Oryctolagus cuniculus: one gene and its partners. The protein of the gene in region 3 purifies or fractionates together with the protein of the main gene of each other region. This does not show direct contact. Links are inferred from orthologs where the notes say so. Each region holds a gene or a part of one and is shown on either strand. Other genes may lie near its edges.

Region 1 (3,695 bases), on a different chromosome or scaffold from region 3:
TGGGTGGGGGTGGGGAAGGAGGGAGCCAGGCGCGGAGGTGGGAGGCGGGCGAGGGGAGGTGTGAGCACAGCATCTCACCTGGCCGGTCTTCTCCTTGTTGATGAGCAGGCGCGGGGTGGACAGGGGTGCCCTGGGGGGACGCGGGGCTCAGTGCTCAGGCTCTGTCCTGGCCCCGCCTCAGCGCCCAGCCCCGCCCCGCCCTGCACTGGCCCCCAACCTACTTGCCGATGAGGGACGCGAAGGGCTGCACCTGCAGGGAGGTGCCCATGACGATGAGCAGGTCCACCTTCAGGAAGTCCTGCAGGGGGGCAGCGGTGAGGGCCCCGGCCGCTGCCCAGGCTGGGCCGCTCTGCCCCGCGCGCCCCCTGCAACAGGGCCCCAGCCGCAGCCGGCCAGGCACTTACTGACTGCATGCAGGAGAAGAAGCGCGCCGGCAGGTTCTCTCCGAAAAATACGATGTCTGCCGCGGAGACGGGGGATGGTCACAGGCAGGAAGAGACGGGGGATACAGAGCAAGGACACGGAGCGGGGACAGGTAGCAGGAGAGGCCGGCTGAGGGCAGAGACGGCTGGGGGACAGACAGAACTGCCCCCTCCCCAGGATGCACAGGGCTGAGGGTGGAAGCGGGTGACCTATGGGAAGGGATGGGTGGGGGAAGGGGGAGGTGCCAGCTTGGGCAGCCCCAGCCCCGGCTCACCAGGCTTCACCACGCTCTGGCACTTCTCACACTTGGGAGTCACCTCCGAGAAGATCTTCTCTGGGCAGGGGAGAGCGGGGGAGAGAGGGCCGTGAGGGGCTGGCGCTGGGGGCTGCGGCACCAACACGCCCCTTGGGCCTGGGAGAACCTGGGGTGGGGTCTGCTCTGTTACAGGATATCTGGACTCCAGGGGGCTCTTCGAGGGCAGCCCTGGCTCCCCGGGGTCAGGGGGGCCTGGTGATTGCCAGGTTTGGCAACGGGGGGTGAGTGGGAGTGGAGGGAGAACCCCTGATGATGCGGGGACGGCGACAGAACCTGGGGACCGTGACGGAGCCCCTGGTGCAGCTGCCTTGGGACAATCCCACCCCTGTCAGGCTTGAATGCATTTTCTGTCCCTGGCAGCCCTCAGAACTCTAACTCATTCCTTCAGCCACTCATTCATTCTCCCAGCCCACACCAGCACAGTGCTGCGTGCACAAGACGCTGCGTTGTGGGTGACGCTCCCGGGGGGGGGGGTGATTGTACGCCGGCCCCCAGTCCCCCGCCACCAGCTGCACGCAGTGGCTGCGGTTCAGGAGCTCACGCCCGGGGGCAGTCAGCTGGCCACTTTTCAGCAGGGCCACCCTCCCGGGGGACTGCAGCTGTCGCTCTCACGTGGACACCGGCGGCTTTGTTAGCTGAGCATAAAGAATGCCAGAGACGCCTGTCCAGCCGCAGCAGGCGGCTCCTCAGCCAGCACAATGGACGTCGGCGACAGGCTCGCCCTGGCCGCGGGCTCGGGGGACTGGAGCTCTGGCCTCGTGTGAACTGGGACGGCAGCTCCCGCAACCCCGTGTGGCCCGTGCTCCTTCGTCCTGATGCACATCCACACCGGCTGTCACAAGCCGCGGCTTGTGTTTGCACCATGCACAATGGGCCCGCAAAGCCACATGCGACTTGAACAACTTCAGCGAACAAAAATGAAGCAGAACGAGCGATTCGGCTCCCAGGGGGCACCAGGCACGGAGCTCCACAGCCACAGGCTGCAAGGGGCTGCCATGCGGACTGCGCAGAAACGAGCCTTTCTCTTGTCCCAGAATGTTCCAGAGGTCAGGGCTGCTCTTCTCGGGAGGCAGGTGCGAAGGGCACCTGACCGGACCCAGAGCTGGGGTTTCGTGGCCTTGGGGACAGGCCACCTGCAGACCACGGTCTGCAGTTTGCACTCAGGAGGGCCTGGCCGACAGCAGCGTGCGCCACCACTTCCCACCAGTGGGGGCCACTACCACAGAGCCCAGCGCCCAGGAGGCCCTGTTCCCCGCCTCATGGAGCCCCCAGCCCCTCACCTTTCATCCAGTCCAGCGAGTACTCACGCCGGCACAGGGAGCTGATACAGTGTGATGTGTAGAAGGTACCATGGGCCTCCACCAGGTCCTCTGGCTCTAGCCCCGCCACGCGCTCCAGGGTGTCTATGTTCTGTGTGGGGGAGGCAGAGGGAGGAGGAGTCAGGAGAGAGCCCCCCTCCTCATGGGCCAGGAGGAGTCAGGAGAGAGCCACCCTCCTCACGGGCCAGGAGGTGGAGCCGGTGGCCTGGCGCAGCGGGTTAAACTGCCACTCTGGCGTCCTGGCTGCTCCACTTCCAACCCTGCTCCCTGCTCATGCACCTGGGAAGGCAGCAGAAGATGCCCAAGTGCTTGGGCCCCTATCATAGCATGTGGGAGACCCGGATGGATTCCAGCCTGGACCAGCACCAGCTGTGGGAAATGAACCAGTGGATGACAGATCTGTGTGTATGTGTGTGTGTGTGTGTGTCTCCCTCTCTTTGCCTTTCAAATAAATAAAATAAATCTTAAAAAAAGAAATAAATGGGCCGGCGCTGCGGCTCACTTGGCTAATCCTCCGCCTGAGGCTCCGGCACACCGGATTCTAGTCCCGGTTGGGGCACCAGATTCTGTTCCGGTTGCCCCTCTTCCAGGCCAGCTCTCTGCTGTGGCCAGGGAGTGCAGTGGAGGATGGCCCAAGTGCTTTGGCCCTGCACCTGCGTGGGAGACCAGGAGAAGCACCTGACTCCTGGCTTCCGGCGCACCGGCTGTAGCGGCCATCTGGGGGGTGAACCAATGGGAGGAGAACCTTTCTCTCTGTCTCTCTGTCTCTCTGACCATCTAACTCTGCCTGTCAAGAAAGAGAGAGAGAGAGAGAGAGAGAGAGAGAGAGAGAGAGGGAGAAAGAGAGAAATAAGGAGAGAAATAAGGAAAGAAATGTCGCTCCCCCTCTTCGTGGAGGAACGACACAGGACCCTGCGCTGTTCTTTCGTCTGCTCGGCCCTCCCCGGGTTTGCTGCTGGTTCTTCCCGGGTTGGCTACTATCCCTTCCACCTCTGTGGAAGGGCAGTTCCCCCTGGCCACATTCCCCACTTCCGCAGGGGAGCGGCACACCGCCGGCCGGCTTTCTCGGGGGCTGCACAGGTGTTCCTTCAGCTAGATGTTCCCCTTAGATGTTCCCGGTGCATGCCGTCTCTCTCCTCCTTTATAGTCCTCCTCCGCCAATCCCAACTCGGCTGCCCACACGCCGAGTACGCTGCTCTCCTCCAATCAGGAGCAAGTCCTACAGTTTATTAGTTGAACTGGAGGCAGCTGTGCGGAAGCTGTTTACTTCTCTCCCAGCGCCATATTGTGGGAGAGCAGATGCATAGAATAAGTCCTAATTCCAGTAACTCAGTCCAGTCCGGATTGCTCCCCACAAGAAAGAAGGAAAGAAAGAAGGAAAGAAAGAAGGAAAGAAAGAAGGAAAGAAAGAAAGAAAGAAAGAAAGAGAGAGAGAGAGAGAGAGAGAGAGAGAGAGAGAGAGAAAGGAAAGGAAAGGAAAGGAAAAGAAAAAAGAAAAGAAAAGAAAAGAAAAGAAAAGAAAAGAAAAGAAAAGAAAAGAAAAGAAAAGAAAAGAAAAGAAAAGAAAAGAAAAGAAAAGAAAAGAAATTAAACTAAACTGGAGCGGGAGTCGAGGCTACCTGAAGCCAGTGGACGGC
Region 2 (3,695 bases), on a different chromosome or scaffold from region 3:
CTGATGGTTCATACCTCCTTCCAAGAATGCAGGTAGAAATTCTAGTCTGTAAGTTTTATCACCTGAGAGGTTTTAAAACACTGATAGAGGGGTGGGCTTTGTGGTTCAGCAGGTTAAGCTGTCGCTTGGGACAAATGCATCCCATATCAAAATCAAGTCCCACTTCTGTTTTTGATCCTGCTTCCTACTAATGCATACCGGGAGGCAACAGGTGATGGCTCAACTATACCATCCACATGGAAGACCTGGAAGAGTCTTGAGTTCCTGGCTTCTGGCTTTGGCTCAAGAAGTTGAGTCATTACCTCCAAAAGGAAGACTGGGGCTGAATTCCTAGCTCCTTGCTTTGGCCTGACACAGTCTGTCTACTGAAGGCATTTGCAGAGTGAACCAATAGGGGAGAGATCTCTGTATGTCTGCCTACCCCCCACACCCCTCTGTCTCACTGTTTTTCAAATAAATTAATTAATGCATCAAGTCCCAAATTTCCTACCTGGAGCAGCCACTTAGCAAAGTCTTCAGGGCAGATTCAGAGAATCCAGAACACCCACAAAGGTTTAGTCGCATTAAATTTGAGTTCTGTGCAAGATTACTGGAAAAAGAGAAAAAAGAGGAACAGTGGTAAGGCACTCACATCTGATCAATGGTGTTTAGAGGAAAACAGTTGGTACAGTCAGTGAACTGACCTTTGAGTCAGAAGTGAGTTTAGAGTTCACATTTCATTATCTTTGTGACACTAAGCAGGTGGCTTTTGTCTCAGTTTACTCACCTGTGAGATGGCAATATCAGTGCCTTCCAGGTAAGGTTATTAAATGATATAACGTAATAAAGGATTTAGCACAGTGCCTGGCACTAAGTCACAGGTGTACTTGTTAAATTAAAGAAAAAATCAATGTGATAAACATATCCATTTCACTTCCATGTGGAATCAGCTTATGGGCAAATTTGTACCCATAAAGCCACCAGTTTCTTTCAATTAAATGTCTCTTAAATTTGTCCTCTTCCACATTCCCAAACACCCTGTGTTAGTGAAACTTCATGATTGGGGTAAGAATTCTGGAATCATATTGCCAGATTCAAATATCGGTTTAGCCACCTACTAACTATGTGATCTTGTTATTCAGCCTGTGACTCAGTTTCCACATCTATAAAGAGGAAACAACAAAAACACATCAGGGGTTAGAATTAAATGAGAATGCATTTAAAGAACCTAGTGGAGGGGCCTGTGCTGTGGTGTAGTGAGTAATGCCACCACCTGCAACCCACATGGGTGCCAGTTCCACTCCTTTGCCTTTTCCACTTCTGATTCAGCTCCCTGCTGATGGTGCCTGGAAAAAGCAGCAGAGAATGGCCCAGGTGTTTGGGACCCTGCCACCCACGTGGGAGACCTGGACAAAGTTCCTGGCTCTCGGCTTCAGCCTGGCCCAGCCCTGGCTGTTGCGGCCATTTGGGGAGTGAACCAGCAGATGGAAGATCCTTCTCTCTAACTCTGGCTTTCAAAATAAATAAATAAATCTTTTAAAAAACAAAATAAAAAAGAACTTAGTGGAGGGGGTGTTTGAAAGTTAAAATGCATTTGGGATGCCCCGTTCCACATAAGAGTGCCTAGGTTCAAGTCCCAGTTCCACTCCTGATCCCAGCTTACAGCTAATTCACATACTGGGAAACAGCAGGTGATGGCTCAGTTAGCTGGGTCTCTGCCACCTATCTGGGAGATCTGGATTGAGTTCCTGGCTCCTGGGCATTTGAGGAGTGAACCAGTGGGTGGGAGGTCTCTCCTTCTCTTAAAATAACAAATAAAGAAAGAAAAATAAAGGACTTAGCATCTGGCATATAACAAGTAGTCAATAAATGTTAGTTGCTCTTGTTATACTTTTTCATATCAGGCTTCATCTTTCTTACCTGAATGAACAGTGTCCTAACTAGTCTAGTTTCTTCCATGTCTGCCACCCCACACTGCCTACCAGGTTCCTAAATTCACACTCTGACACAGCCCTCCCATTCTCACCATGCTTCCCGCTTCACAGCCCAGTCTGTGTGGCCCACATGCCCATTCTAATCACGCCGCCAACTCTGTACCTCTTGTCACTTCCAGCCCTGAGCACTGGGCTCCAGCAACTTCGAACTACTTAACAGAGTTCTGAGTCACACAGTCAGCTTTGCCCAGGCTGCTTCCTTTGTCCTATTACTTGGGGATCTCCTCCCTGAGTATCTTCAATCCTGAGCTGCAGAGTCACTTCCTCTGAGAAGGCTGCCCTCCTAAATTAAATTAGGTCTCCCTGTGGAGGCTGCTACATCATCACCCATGCATCCAGCGAACACACTGCACAAGTAATTATGTAATTACTTGTAATTACGTCCCTTTTACGAATGAGTCAAGGACCATGCCTTGTTCATCCTTGTATCTCTACAACTGAGGCCTGGAATATAACTAGCAGTTCAACTTTTGTTGCCTTGATGAGTCCTGCGAAGTTTTGCAGAAGCTGGAGTACTGCATTAGGTATTTTCTGTGTCCATCTGGATATGGGTAGATGGGCATTCAAGTCATATTCAAGGAACATTAATGCACATAAAAAACGATTGCCTTTGTGACATGCTCTGGCTACCACTCACTTGACGATGAGATCCGAAAGCTGTAGGCCTTCCAGGCTTAGGTTTTGCAACTTGGAGCACTGAGACAGAATGCCGTGAAGGGTAGACACGTTTATTACTGAGTTCGACAGGTCCATGTGCTGCACACGGAAAGAGCTGGACAACGAGAAGAAAGAGGCTCAATAAGGCTGCTCATGCAAGCACATTCAGACCAAATCTGGCCCCAGAGCTCACCAAATGAGCAGCTAATCAGACAGGACCCTAAATATGACAGCATTTCAACAAATCCATGGACAATGCAGTCAAAAGATAAGTTTAGGGGCAGGTGTTTGGCACAGCAGTTAAGACGCTGCTCCAGATGCCCACGTCCCCTTTCAGAGGGCCTGTGTTTGTGTGCTGGCTCCACTCCCAATTCCAGCTTCCTATTAATATGCATCCTGGGAGGCAGCTCAAGTGGTTGGGGCCTTGCCATCCATGTCGAAGACTTGGATGCAATTCCTGGTTTCTGGCGTTGGTTTAGCCCAGCTCCAGCTAATGGCAATATTTGGGGAGTGTACCAACAAACAGAAGACCTCTCTCTGTCTTATCTCTTATATAAATTAAACAACACTTAATATAAGTTTATTTTGGTGCAAATAATTTTGAGAGCCATGCATATAAATGGTCTACAAAAAGGAGGCGTTTAGCCTAGCAGCTAAGATGCTATGTCCCTTATTGAGGTACCTAGGTTTGATACCTGGCTCTGGTTTCTAACTCTAGCTTCCTGCTAATGTGACACTGGGAGGCAGTGCTGATGCCTCAAGTTATTAATACAGTTCTTGTCACTCGTCTGGGAAACCTGGATTGTTTTAGCCCAGTCCCAGATGGTGTATGAACCAGTGGAGGGGAACTCTCTGTCTCTGTCCTCTATATTTTAAATAATGATGGAGGGGCCAGTGTTGTGGCACAATGGGTTAAGCCACTGCCTGCAATGCTAGCATCCCATATGGGCGTCAGTTCAAGTGTTGGTTGCTCCACTTCTGTGGAGGCCTGGGAAAGCAGTGGAAGATGGCCCAAGTCCTCAGGCCCCTGCGTGCATGTGGGAGACTGGATGAAGCTCCTGGCTC
Region 3 (4,354 bases):
CTCAAACTGAAAATACACTTGCTGGAATCTGACTTGCACCAACTGATTCTTCATTACTCCTGAAACATCTACTCATCTGACAAACACAGACTACTCCCTCCCAAGGCCAGGCTCGGAGTTCCCTCTGGGAGCTGCCACTCAGCACATGGTCCCTACTCAGCACTTAATAGCTCTCCTAAAGACAATTTTAAAATACAAAATTATACCTGCATCTTTAAAAAAAAAATGTTAAAACAAGAACTTAAGAAAATGGTTAAGGGGGTGATATGACCTTAGAGTTTACATACATATAAAGTCTAAGCCTTAAAAAGTTCTAAGTTATATTCCTAGTGTCAGAATACCTTGACAATGCCTTGAGAGGCAAACTAAAAATATCCTGAAACACTGCCCTTATCTTTAAAGAAAGCTACTCCAGCAAGTTGAAGTAAGTTGTATCCATTTCCAAGGACGTGAAAGAATGGCTAAGTACACACAGTACTCTGAATGTCAAAAAAAAAATTTAATTGCAAATGCTTTTTAATAGCTTAAATAGAATTGATAGATGAGCAAATCAGTCAAGTACTTAAATTCCAATACTAAGTGAAATTGGATTTGACAATCTTCATTTTGTGACTGAGAACACAAGATACAAGGAGCCTACAGCAAGAAGGCACTTTACTTTTACGAACCACTTGGCAAAACTGCACGTAATGCCTACTAATGAGGTTATAAGTGATACTTTTACTCTTAAACACTGTTAGGAAAAATAAAGTCCTGACTCCTTCTCCAAGGAACCTCAATAAGATGTGAGGAAGCTGACCTTTCTGACACATTAACCACAGAACCGACAGGGTATGTGAGCCAGTCGCTGTAACGCTCGCGCGGGGAAGACCACTCCGTGTTACGCCGTACAGTCACGCTAAGGGGCCAGGCGAGGCGAGAAAGGGGTCTGATTCAAGCAGCGAGTCTTTTCACATCCAAAACCGTGAGAAACTGTCGGCTTTCGGGGGCCCGCGCCGAGCGCGTCCTCCCGCGGCCTTCAAGGCGGGGAAGGGATGCGCCAGCCACCCCCCACCCGAGTCTTTGCCAGCCTCGCTCAGGATGTCCTGCCGTGGCCCGGACGCGCACCTCCTCTGCGACTTCCCCGGCCGCAAGGGTCACAAAACCCCCTGCGTCGGCCCTCACCGGCGCACCAGCGCTTCATAACACTGAGGTGGCGAGGCCAAGAAAAGGCGCGCGGGCGCGCACACACACACCCACCCTGGCCTGCCTCCGTGTTTCTAATTATTAGCCTCACACCGTGGCCAAGCCCATGTTTGGGGCGCTTCCCTGCGTGGACCGGGGCCGGCCCGCCGCGCTGGCCCTTTAAAGGCGCTCGCTTCCTGCGCCCGCGGCCCCTCCCCAGCCGCCGCCGGCGCCCGCCCCCGCCGAGGGTCACACTTGAACTTAGCTCGCCCCGCGCGGCCGGGCGCCGGCGCTCCGCAGGCGGTGGCCGCCCCTTCGCACGTGTCGGAGGCGCTCCCTCGGGCTCGGCGCGCCTGGACCCCAGCACCCGAGGCCACCCGGGATAAAACCAAAACAAAGCCAAAAGCGCATCGGCCTCCAGAAGTGGCGCGGCCGACCCCGCACCGTCCCAAGGCTGTCCCCTCCACCTGCAGCCGTGCCCCCCGGGTTTGGGTGCCCCCCTCGCCGCCCCCTCCACCGCTCGGCGCGGCGGAAACGGCCCCGCGCTGCGAGGGCGGAGAGGAGCCGCCCTCCCCGCCGGAGGTCCGGGAGGCAAAAGGGGCAGCCGCTCCGCGTGAAACCTTCTCTCTCTGACTGGCAAACTTTCCTGCCCGCTCTGACGCCCAGTTCCTGACGCACTTTCTTCACGCCTCAGTTCCCCCCCAACACGCCCCTGTGCCTGTCCCACCGCAACTCTGCGGCGCGCGCGCGCCTCCCCTCCGCCCGGGCAAGCCCCCGCACCTGCCACTTCCCACCCGCCCTCGGCCGCCCGCGCGACCCGCCCAGCCACCCCCGCACCTGCCCCACCGCGCCCCGGTCCGGCCGCTCACCTTCCAGCCCGCCGAGCTGTTGCTATCGCCCTTATCCTTGAAGTAGGGCACGCTCTTGACCATCCACTCGTAGATCTGAGACAGCGTGAGCCGCTTCTCGGCCGAGCTCTCGATGGCCTTGGTGATGAGGTCGGCGTAGGACAGGTTGCCCCACGCGTTGCGGCGGGACGAGCTGCTCTTGCGCGGCTGCCCAGCGAGCGGCCCAGCAGCCGCGGGGGGTACAGGCGGGTGCTGTGACAGTGGCCCGGGCGCCGGGGGCTGCGGCGGCGCCGGGTGCAGGCAGCCCGCCGCCTCTGCGCCCTGGAAGTCCCCGCACAGTCCCCCGGTGGCAGCCGCCGCGGCCGCCGCCACCGCCGCCGCCGCCGCTGCGGCCGCCGCCACGGAGCCGGGCGCCTGCGGGAAGTCCTCGCTCTCCTCCAGCAGGCTCAGGTTGCTCATGAAGTCGGCGTTGACAGCGGCCGCCGAGGCTGGGGGCAGGCCCGCCGCGGCGTCGGGGTTGGCGGCCGCGCCGCCCGACGGCGCCGGGCTGGAGGTGGCCGAGTTGGACTGGCTAAACTCCGGCCTGGGCAGCGGCCAGGTGCACGAGCGCGGCCGGGGCAGCGGCTCGAAGTCCGGGTCGATCTCCACCACCTGAGGCGCTTCGGCCATGGTGACCCCCGCCCCTCCCCCAGCCGCCGGAGAGCCGAGAAGGGGGGGAGCGCAGCGCGGAGCGGAGGGGGCGCAAAGGCTGGCCCGAGATCCTGGGGGGATGGGGGGAGGACGAAGTCAGTGCCGCGAGCTGACGGAAACCGGGAGGAAGGAGCAGCGGAGTAGCCGCGCGAGCCCAGAACTTAACTTCGTGGGTCCATCAACATCCAAGGCTGCTCCGGGTTCGCTGCACCACCAGGACGGCTGGCCAGAGCCGGGCAGCTCCAGGGCCGCGCTCCTGCTGACAGGGCCACGGACGGACGGACGGACGGACGGACACCGCGGGCCGCTCGCTCTCGCCGGCGGCGCGAGCGCGGCGCAGCTGCCTGTTGAATGCGCTGGAGGCGGCGGCGGCGGCGGCGGCGGCAGCAGCAACTACGCGGCTGCCCGACTTACGGGATCTGCCACCGCCCCCCGCCCGCGGCGGCGCGCGCGCCGGCCCGCCCCCGATTGACAGCCCGCGCAGCCAATGGGCGCGCGGCACCGCCGCCCAAGCAGCCAGTGGGAGAGGGCTGGGGAGGGGCCCGGTTTTCCACGAGGAGGCGGCTGTGGGTTGGTAGGGGGGTAGTGGGGTGTTTTTCTCGTTGGCGCACACGCACGTTCTCTCTCTTTTTGTGATTATTTTCTGGTAATTCTCGAGTATTTCTGCGAGTCTCTCGCCCTCTTACTGTTTTGACTGCTGAGAGGCAAACCAACGTGGAGGCGGCGGCGACACTTTGTTTACTACGGGGGAGCCGAGCCGTGGACTGGCGAAGCCCGAGCGGAACGAGCGGCTGCCGTGGCCCCGACCTCCGCTCGGCGCCCAGACCAGGGCAGGGCAGGGCAGGGCGCGGGGCGGGGCGGGGTGGAGGCGGCCGCGCGGAATTCCACTCGGTCGCCCCCTCTCCGCTCCACCCACGCGGTCCGCGCGGCGCGGTGCGGGGAAGTCGGCAGGGTTTGTTTTCGTGCAGCGTTTTCTTTCGCTGCGCTCGGTCAAGTCCTCCTGCCCCCGCTCGGGCCGCACACGCCTCCCCGTCCCCACCCCGGGAGACCGTGGGCCTTGTGGTCGGGTCCCTGCCGGCACGGGACGCCAGCCGCGCCGCCCCCGCGCCGGAACCCACCTGCGCGCGCCGCCCCCGGGGCTGGTCGTCCGGCCCGAATTCTGCCATTGTTGACCTAAAAGGGCAGAAATGAGGGAAAGGGCTGGGCAAGCACAGGGTCCCTGGGTCTCCTATCCTCTGGGACACTCTGCCCTAGCGCGCCAGCCTTGCACTGTCCACCGGGCCAGCGGTGGCCGCGGCGAAGGGTCGGCAGAGCAAGTTCGCGAGCACTTTGTCCATTTATTCCTTGCCCGTAATTAAGTGTAACAGTTGGCTTACTTCCTTTTTTATTTAGAAGTGATGAAGTGTTGAGTAAAAACGCGAGAGGGGCTGAGACCGAAGCCTTGACCACAGCGCTGCCCCACCCCCAGGTTGTGGGGCTGCCCGCTGCGTCCATCAGTCACTCCCACCCCACCTCCCCACCTTGCTCCATCTGGGCTCCAGGTCCGGGACGTCCTGTCCGGGAGCAGTGGGGCCAAAGGTGGAAACACAATTACCCTTGTGTCTTCAGGGAGCATTAGACAGTTTTCAAGTTCTATTTTGTTTTATTTATTT
Region 4 (4,161 bases), on a different chromosome or scaffold from region 3:
ATCCAGCTCTCTGCTGTGGCCTGGGATAGCAGCAGAAGATGGCCCAAGTCCTTGGGCCCCTGCACCCATGTGGGAGACCCAGAAGAAGCTCCTGGCTCCGGATCGGCACAGCTCCAGTTGTTGCAGCTATCTGGGGAGTAAACCAGCGGATGGAAGACCTCTCTCCGTCTCTGTGTAACTCCGACTTTCAAGTAAGTAAATAAGTCTTAAAAAAAAAAAAAAAAAGAAAATGCATTGTGTGTTTTATTTAATTTTTAAAAAATTATGTTCTTTATTTAAAAAGGTGGAGTGAGAGCACAAGAGAGCAAGAAAGCGGATGTGAGTGACAGCTCCCCTCTGCCGTTTCAGTCCCCAAACAGCCACAATAGCTGGGCTGGGCCACGCAGAAGCCAGGAGTCAAGAACTCAATCCAAGTCTTTTACAGGGGTAGTAGGAACCCAGCCACTGGAACCACTATCCACCAACTCCAACACTGTCCATTACCAAGAAGCTGGAATCAGTAGCAAAGCAGGACTTCAAAGTAGGCACTCAGATATAGGATCCAGGAGACCCAACTAGCATATTAACCTCTATGCTTACCCCTTTATTTTTCTTTAAAAAAAATAGCAAAAAAGATTTTGAATGATTTCACAATAACAAGATGATGTATGAGACAGGGATGTTTACTCTAATTTAGATGTTACACAATCTATAATGTGTCAAAACATCAAATGGTACCCCATAAATACGTACAATTTTTGTACTTAAGAGCACTAGATTTTTCTTAGAAATATAAGTTGTTATTAAATCTCTCCATGTACCTAAAAACTTCAATCTATTAAAGGGACAGAGGGAAAATGGGGGGAGGGGCACAGCTCTGAACCATACCTATCCGTGGCCTTGGAGTCCAGTCACTAGAGCTTGCATGTGAGGCTCTGTCGTCGTCATCGCTTTCACATGAGTGAAAGCCATTAGTGATAATTTCATCACCGAACAAGAGATTATCTGCAAAAGAAATCAACATTAAGGCTGCTGACAGCCTGCATCTGAAATGCAAGAAGACTCATCAGTGGTCACAAAGCAACCATTTTTAATGACTAAAGCATTTAACATACATCCCGCATGTGTAAAGGTGGTCAACATTCACAAGAGCAGTTCTCTGATCCTCAAGAGATCCTTTGCAGAATTCAAAGCTTCAGTCTATCAAAAATCTGAGTCTACTTTTTAAAAAGTCAAAACAGAATAAGAGGTAGTCTCTATAGACTGAGCTTAGCAATCATACAAGCAAAGGAGTACATGCAAGTTGTCAAAATTTACCCACCAACGTTGTGAAAACCAAGGCTGCCTGCACTCTGGGCTTTTATATACTACTAAACATACTTAGCTATTTCTGCATTATCTGTTTCTCCCATTTATTGTGCTTCTAAATACTATGATGGTTCCTTAGTTCAGCAGACTGAATCACAAAGAAATTTAATATTTGCCAAATTTACCTGAAGGAGGAAGGAATTTTGTTTCTTGAAATCAGGAGCTGCTTCACCTGTGCAGTCCCTGATGTATACACTACACATTTTTTTTTTTCCATGTGGCTACTAAATGCTCCACTGGCTAGTTCCGACACAGTACTGACAGACACAGAAACTTCTCAAGTCAAACTATGAAACCCTCAAGGACAAGACATGTACTTCAGTATGTCAAAAACATGTCAACCTGCTTCAGGATCACATATATACAGAAGAATCCCATTTAGCTTAAAACCACTTCAGAACACGACTCAACCACAATATTAATATAAAGCACTCTGAAAGTACTTCATTATGCGATCCCCACTAAACGCATCACAAAAGACTGCTTTAGAAACTATGCTTTTAAAGTTTTCAGGTTAAGACCTCAGAAAGCCGCTTTGCTCTTTCCAAATTTATAACTACAAGTTTAAAAGTACAGATCGTCAAATAAATAAATAAATGGCACAGGTGTCAGTTTGCACGGGCAACTGCGAAAGGTCGACCAACGGGACGGCCGAAAGTTGCAGACTTTAAGTGTGCTGGTGAAGGAGGAGGAGAGCAAAGTAAGTTCAACGAAAGCAATACTAGAAGAGAGAAAACTTATTTGTAAAGCCAAGGGAGACAGCGTCCACACCCGGCGGCTGCGTCGAACGCCGCAAGGCCGCCGAGAGGGGCCGCGGACCGAGGGAAGACAAGGAGCAAGTCCGCGCGCAGCTCCCCACCGCACGGCCGGCAGCCCGGGAGCAGCGCGGCTGAACGGAGGGCCGCCATGGGGAGAGGATCCCGCGAGCCAGCCCGGAACCCCCGGCCCGCCCTAGAGACCCCCCCCCCAACCGGACACTAGGAGGGGCCCCGAGAGGAGGAGGAGGGGGATGCGCAGTCCCGGCCGCCCGCGCCCTGCGCACCTCTGTACCCAATCCCCGCCGCCGCCTCTTCCTCCTCTTCGCCCTCGTCGTCGTCGTCTTCGTCTTCGCAGAAATCGTCGGCCGGCGGCGGCTCCCGGGGTAGGCCCTGCAGGCCAGGCCCATTGTCTCCTCCGGCCGCTACCATAGCCTGGGCCTCTCGCTCCCCGCCCGTCGCCGTCGCCGCCTCCGCCTCCCGCCACAGCGCCGCCGCCACAGCCGGGCAGCTCCCGGCCGCCGCCGCCGCCGCCGCCGGCACCTCACGCTCGGGGGCCGGCCCGCCGGACTCGCCCGGGCTCCACCCGAGGCCAGGGCCGTCTCTCCGCGGCCTCTTGCGGAGCGGCTCTCCAGCAGGCGGCGAAGCGGCCTCCCTCTCGGCCGCCGCAGCCGACGGGGAGCCGCCAGGCTGAAGGGCGAGCGCCGCCTCGTCCGCCATCTTCCAACTGCCTCTCTGGCCCTCCTTCCTCGCCTCCTCTGCTCCCGCTCGACGCGCGGCACTGGCGCCCCCGCGGCTCCGGCTGCGGGAGATTTAAACCCCGTCACGTGACCTGCCTCCGCCCCCGCCCCCGCCCTCCCGCCGCTCCCGCCACCCACGCGGGCCGAACCACAACACGGCCGGTCACGTGGCGGGCGGAGGCCCGGGCGTCTCCCTCTCTGCTCGGGCGGGGAGGAAACGCGGCTCGGGCGGCCTGAGGCCCCTCCCCTCAGTGGCGGGCGTGTCTTGCACGCTCGCTCGGCGGCCGCTTTTGAACTTCTGTTTGGAAGCGTCCTGAACTCAGGACCGTCCGGAAGGCACACGTTTTGGTTCACGGAGTTTCCACTTCTGCCTCCAGCGCACACCTTCCCTGCCTAGCCCTGTCTGCATTTTTAGCTAAGGGTTAAAGTTGGGCTCCTGAGAGGCGATGAGGACTGAAGCTTCGCTCCTTGAAATAACGCTGGGTAGCCGTTGGGCTTTTGTCAGTGGGGAGGAAAGAACAAGGCGCTCTGCCGCCCCCGCGCCATTCTGACAGCCCTTCTTCAGCTCCTTTGCTTGGCCCTCCCCTTCAGTGATTGGCTCTTGTGCCCTGTCGCCCTCACTTGTGGGGCGAGATTGTCAGATCCTCACAGGCGTGTGTCCCCGTCCTAGGTCCTTTGACCTGGGAACTTGGGAGTCAGCCTATCAGCTTTCGGTCCGTAACTTGTACTCAAATGTGTGTGCGTTCCTACCTGTGGGCCCCGGTGTTCTCAGGTGTAGTGATTGCATTGGGTCAAGTCGGGCAGTCGAGAACAAGGCTCGGCCACTCCCCATCTCTGGGTTTGCTTTAAATTTGGGATTCTTGTATACCGAGCAAGTTAGCCTTTTCTAAATCCAATTTTTTCTCATAATACCTATTTTGCAGGGTTATGAAAATTAAATAAGCTAGCTATATTTAAAAGGTACATAGTAGTTCAAAAACCAGAGTTGCTTCCCCACTGGAAACTCCACCACTTTCCACTTGCCCTGGAAAATTGTTACTTTACAGCCATAACTAAGGACCTATGCTTTGCGTGGCATCTGCCTGCAGCATTTCTAGTCACTTAAAGAACTTCTCAGCGTTCATAGCACACCATTCCTTAAACTGACTATGGGTCCTGGATATATTGCACCGATACCTGCATGACCTTAGGCAAGCAACTCAAGCTCTGTTGCTTTAGCTTCAAAAAGAACCAAGAAGGCTGGAAACTCATTTTTGAGATATCATTTACTAGTTTCAAAAATGTTTGCACTTCAAATTAAACAGAATCTCCCTTTGACA
Region 5 (3,695 bases), on a different chromosome or scaffold from region 3:
TACACAAAGTTCTGTTCGCTGGGCTTCTGCTCGAGGCTAACTTTCCCTGGAAGCCGTATCTGAGTACATCAGTCCACAGGGCCCTCTTCTGCCTCTCCACACCCCCGTCACGTGCTGCACCAGTGTCGGGCATCGCACTCCGTGTAAAGGATACAGAGTGGGGGGAAATCCGGTCTCTGTGCCACAGGTGTGCACAGGCAGACAGACGAGCAAACCAACCCGTGGGTGCAGAAGGAGGCTGCTACCAGAATGCAAAGGAGGGAGGCGAGAGGCTATGGGCAATCAGTCAGTGCTTCCTGGGGTGGTGATTGACAAGGGGACAGAGGGGAGACAGCTGGGGCAAGAGGAGGCACTGGGAGGGCAGAGCTGCAGCTAGGAGAGGGAATGCATCTTGGAGAACACCAGATGAGGCTGGAGTGACAGGCTGGGGCCAGATGTGAAGAGGCCTTGAATGCAGAGTGCAGTCAACAGGAACCCAGAGGAGTTTCAAACCAAAGAGTGACATCAGCAAGCGTGCAGGCTGGAAACCGTACTTGGGCAGCAGTGCGCCATGGCGAGAGAGGCCAGCCAGGAGACCAGGAACCCCTGAAGGCCACCAGTGGGCACAGCCGGGCGATGCTCTCTAGAACCAGCCAGGGCACTGTGTGCATCACTGCTCTGCTCCTCTCCTACCCACCCAGAACTTCCAGCGAACTGCCCACGAGTCAAGGCCTCCGCTGTCCAGGCCCCTTGAGGTCCTCTGAGAACAGGTCTGACTGCATCTCACAATTCCTGGCCCAACACACATGCTGAGGAATCACAACCTTTCCCGAGATACAGCCCCAGCCAAGTCACAGGGACGCTGTGCCTGGCCATGGCTGGCAGCTGGTCTCGGGGACAGGACACTGGAAACCCCCCCCAGGGATCTGATCATGGGAGAAAGGAAGCGGATGCATACTGAGCCCCTGCTATGTGTGGGCACCTCATTCACAGATCCGGGAGGAGGCAGTGCCGCCACCATCTCACTGATGTACGAAGGCCAGGCCGGGCACGGCAGCTCCGCCGAGGTCACAGAGCTCTCCAGCAGTGTCGACTGCAAAGGTCAAGCAGCGGCTACCTCTGCTCGGACAACGAGCAAGTGGGAAGCGCTAAGGGCAAGAGCTGGGGAATCAGACAATTTGACCCCACGCCTTTGTGTCTCTTGTTCACATAGAAAACGCGATTCTAATAACACCTATTTCATAGAATTAGCATGACAAGATCAAGGAGGTGAAAGTCCCTCTCGCACAGGAAAGAGCTCCTCAGATCACTCCTGCTCCGTTCAGCAGAGCTGCGCTGTGTGAGAGACCTGAGCCCTGGCTGCTGTCGGATCCACCTGTCCTGCCTGCTGTCCCCACGTGACCCCCGGGACTGGGCTTCGGTCATTCCTGGTTAGTCTTACTGCTGCTTACTCAGCTGCAGTTCTGAGAATTTTAATGAGAATTCAATCCTCCAACCTTACTTTACAAAGGGCCTCTTCTGAAAAAGAAAATGCTAATGTGGGAACATAAAAAGCTCTCAAAAAAGACAGGCTTGGCTAAGGGAAATTGGGCCATCAGGTAAGACCACTTTCCTCCACGGCTGCTGAAATTATTGTTACTGTGTAGCCGATGACATCTCAAAGATGCTTACTATATTCTTCTGCTCACTCAAAGACAAGTGCCAGACACTAGCAGACACAGATCCCTGAGGCAAGGGTCCTGCCCTCTGGGAACACACAGCCCAGCACAGCGCAGGAAGGAAGGCAGCCAAAGCCCTGGCTCTGTGACAGAGAATAGGAGAACAAGAGCAGAGTCCAGAGAGGGAGGGATCACACGGCCGCACCCCAGGGGAGGCTTGGTGACAGGGTTAGATTTCAGTAGAGACATTCGTAGGACTTTCCCTGGCACCGTATGTTTGGGAAAGATGACCCCACAGGAGCAAAAAGGGGAAAGTTCTGGGTATATTTGGTTTGCCTGCGGGTGGCAGGCGTCTGCTGAAACCCAGACAAGCTTAGCCACAGCAATGGTTTCAGGGGGCCGGAGCAGGAGACTAGGTGGGGCCGGGTCAATGAATGAGGCAATGATCGTGAGTCACTGAAAGAAAAGTGTCCCTAGTGGCATCAAGCGAGACAGGAAGCAAGGATTCCCACTGTCCAGAGCTGAACTAAGTCGAGGATGAGGAAACAGGAGGGACACTGAGACACCTTAACCACCAGTGGGAGGGAACCACAGCTCCCCTGAGCATAATGGGGTAGGAACCTCCGAAGGAGGAGTGAATGTGGGAGCCCAGGACAGGGCCGCAGGAAGAAAGCGACGTTCTAAGACATCGTCTGGGGAGCTAAGGGAATCTAATCGAGTCTGAAGTCGCAGTGATCTACAATAACATAAACTTCAAACTTTTTTTTTAACTGGATAAAAAAGTGACATTCAAAGTTTCTCTGACCTTTGTCCTTTGACCTTGGAAGAAATCACTGTAGTGTTTAAGCAAGGAGACTTGCACCGTGTTCTCATCATACTTGATTAAGAAGTAAGGCAGGGCCGTGACTCCTTCTCTTTGACAAAGATCATCATACGCACGCTTCAGGGCCTCTATCTGCAAATAGGAAACAGGAGGTTATTCTCTGGACAAACACTTGTCGTTCTGAGCTAAAACCTGACATGAAGCTGCCTTGAGGCCAGCAGAGTGGAAATGACCGATCGCACCTCTGCTCCTCTTCTGCAGCAAATGAACGTCAATGTGCACCCAGACACTGCGACACTGCCACGTAACTTCTACGCGACCCCTTTCAGGTGCACGGTGTGCACCTTAGACAGGGCCGCAGTGTGGTGGCTCCCGAGTCTGCCAACCACAGAGGGTCGGCGAGGAAACAGATGTTCCATCTCTCCTGCACTGGCCAGCATGAATGCCCCATGGGGCAACGTGACCGTGAGCCTCCCATGATCTTTAACAAGGAACCTTGCCGTGACCTTTACTGAGACACCACTCCAACGCCACACTGAAGTACACAACCTCATGAGTTTTTTAATCCAGTCACAGGGGTGTCACCATCAGAGTGACAGTTTCATAGCATTCTTCTTTTTTCCTACAAGGAAGCCCACACTCGCCAGCAGTCATTCTCCAAGCACGAGCATCCCTCACCCCCCTTCTCGTAGGATTTCTTCTCTGGAAATTAGTCCCACAAACCACAACCTTGGGTTTATACTAAAGAGCTTGTTCTTGGTTTTGCCTTCAAAACAGTCACAGGGGCCCCGGGCTTCAGCACTCAGCGTTGTAGTGATGCAGTCGTGGTGACGCTCAATCCTCGCCTGAACAGCTGTCGGAACGCTCGGGCTCGGGGTCTCAGCTCCGCAGCCTGATCGTGCCAGCTGCTCCTCTCCCATCACCTCCGAGGACCTCACCCTCCTTCCCAGTGAGATGGCACCCACTGGCTGTGCACGTGCCACTCCTGAGGGGGCAGTCCTGCCGCCGTGCACGAGGGCAGAGGGCAGAGGGCTGTGTGATTTCAGACGCTCTTCCCGCAGAACGATGCCTTAGGTTTCCCTCCACTCAGTGTGAAGACTCTGTTTTGGTAGATTCTTGCAGTCTTTCAAAGTGTCCCTGTAACCCTCCTTGCTGGCTTAGCATCTCACCAAACACCATGGAAACCTGGAAAACTCCTGCTGACTGCATCTGCAAAATGACCCTGTGAACATTCT

Evidence for each region.
Region 1: the proteins of FOXO1 (region 3) and SIRT2 purify together in Homo sapiens (affinity purification with western blotting; 3 studies listed by BioGRID). This does not show direct contact. The link is inferred for Oryctolagus cuniculus from reciprocal best matches to the Homo sapiens genes FOXO1 and SIRT2.
Region 2: the proteins of FOXO1 (region 3) and SKP2 purify together in Homo sapiens (affinity purification with western blotting; 4 studies listed by BioGRID). This does not show direct contact. The link is inferred for Oryctolagus cuniculus from reciprocal best matches to the Homo sapiens genes FOXO1 and SKP2.
Region 4: the proteins of FOXO1 (region 3) and SIRT1 purify together in Homo sapiens (affinity purification with western blotting; 5 studies listed by BioGRID and IntAct, with this or other methods). This does not show direct contact. The link is inferred for Oryctolagus cuniculus from reciprocal best matches to the Homo sapiens genes FOXO1 and SIRT1.
Region 5: the proteins of FOXO1 (region 3) and ATG7 purify together in Homo sapiens (affinity purification with western blotting; 4 studies listed by BioGRID). This does not show direct contact. The link is inferred for Oryctolagus cuniculus from reciprocal best matches to the Homo sapiens genes FOXO1 and ATG7.

What each region holds. Positions count from the first base shown.
Region 1 is NC_091449.1:15,878,316-15,882,010, reverse strand, and holds part of SIRT2 (NAD-dependent protein deacetylase sirtuin-2), read right to left. Parts: intron 2,150-3,695; coding exon 2,020-2,149; intron 758-2,019; coding exon 698-757; intron 461-697; coding exon 405-460; intron 299-404; coding exon 222-298; intron 131-221; coding exon 79-130; intron 1-78. UniProt on the Homo sapiens protein: NAD-dependent protein deacetylase, which deacetylates internal lysines on histone and alpha-tubulin as well as many other proteins such as key transcription factors.
Region 2 is NC_091445.1:61,730,260-61,733,954, reverse strand, and holds part of SKP2 (S-phase kinase-associated protein 2), read right to left. Parts: intron 2,746-3,695; coding exon 2,611-2,745; intron 590-2,610; coding exon 491-589; intron 1-490. UniProt on the Homo sapiens protein: Substrate recognition component of a SCF (SKP1-CUL1-F-box protein) E3 ubiquitin-protein ligase complex which mediates the ubiquitination and subsequent proteasomal degradation of target proteins involved in cell cycle progression, signal transduction and transcription.
Region 3 is NC_091440.1:72,837,550-72,841,903, reverse strand, and holds the start of FOXO1 (forkhead box protein O1), read right to left. Parts: upstream 2,818-4,354; 5' UTR 2,682-2,817; coding exon 2,034-2,681; intron 1-2,033. UniProt on the Homo sapiens protein: Transcription factor that is the main target of insulin signaling and regulates metabolic homeostasis in response to oxidative stress.
Region 4 is NC_091446.1:59,832,949-59,837,109, reverse strand, and holds the start of SIRT1 (NAD-dependent protein deacetylase sirtuin-1), read right to left. Parts: upstream 2,899-4,161; 5' UTR 2,823-2,898; coding exon 2,390-2,822; intron 1,475-2,389; exon of another isoform or gene 1,407-1,474; intron 985-1,406; coding exon 868-984; intron 1-867. UniProt on the Homo sapiens protein: NAD-dependent protein deacetylase that links transcriptional regulation directly to intracellular energetics and participates in the coordination of several separated cellular functions such as cell cycle, response to DNA damage, metabolism, apoptosis and autophagy.
Region 5 is NC_091441.1:115,793,282-115,796,976, forward strand, and holds part of ATG7 (ubiquitin-like modifier-activating enzyme ATG7), read right to left. Parts: intron 2,593-3,695; coding exon 2,443-2,592; intron 1-2,442. UniProt on the Homo sapiens protein: E1-like activating enzyme involved in the 2 ubiquitin-like systems required for cytoplasm to vacuole transport (Cvt) and autophagy.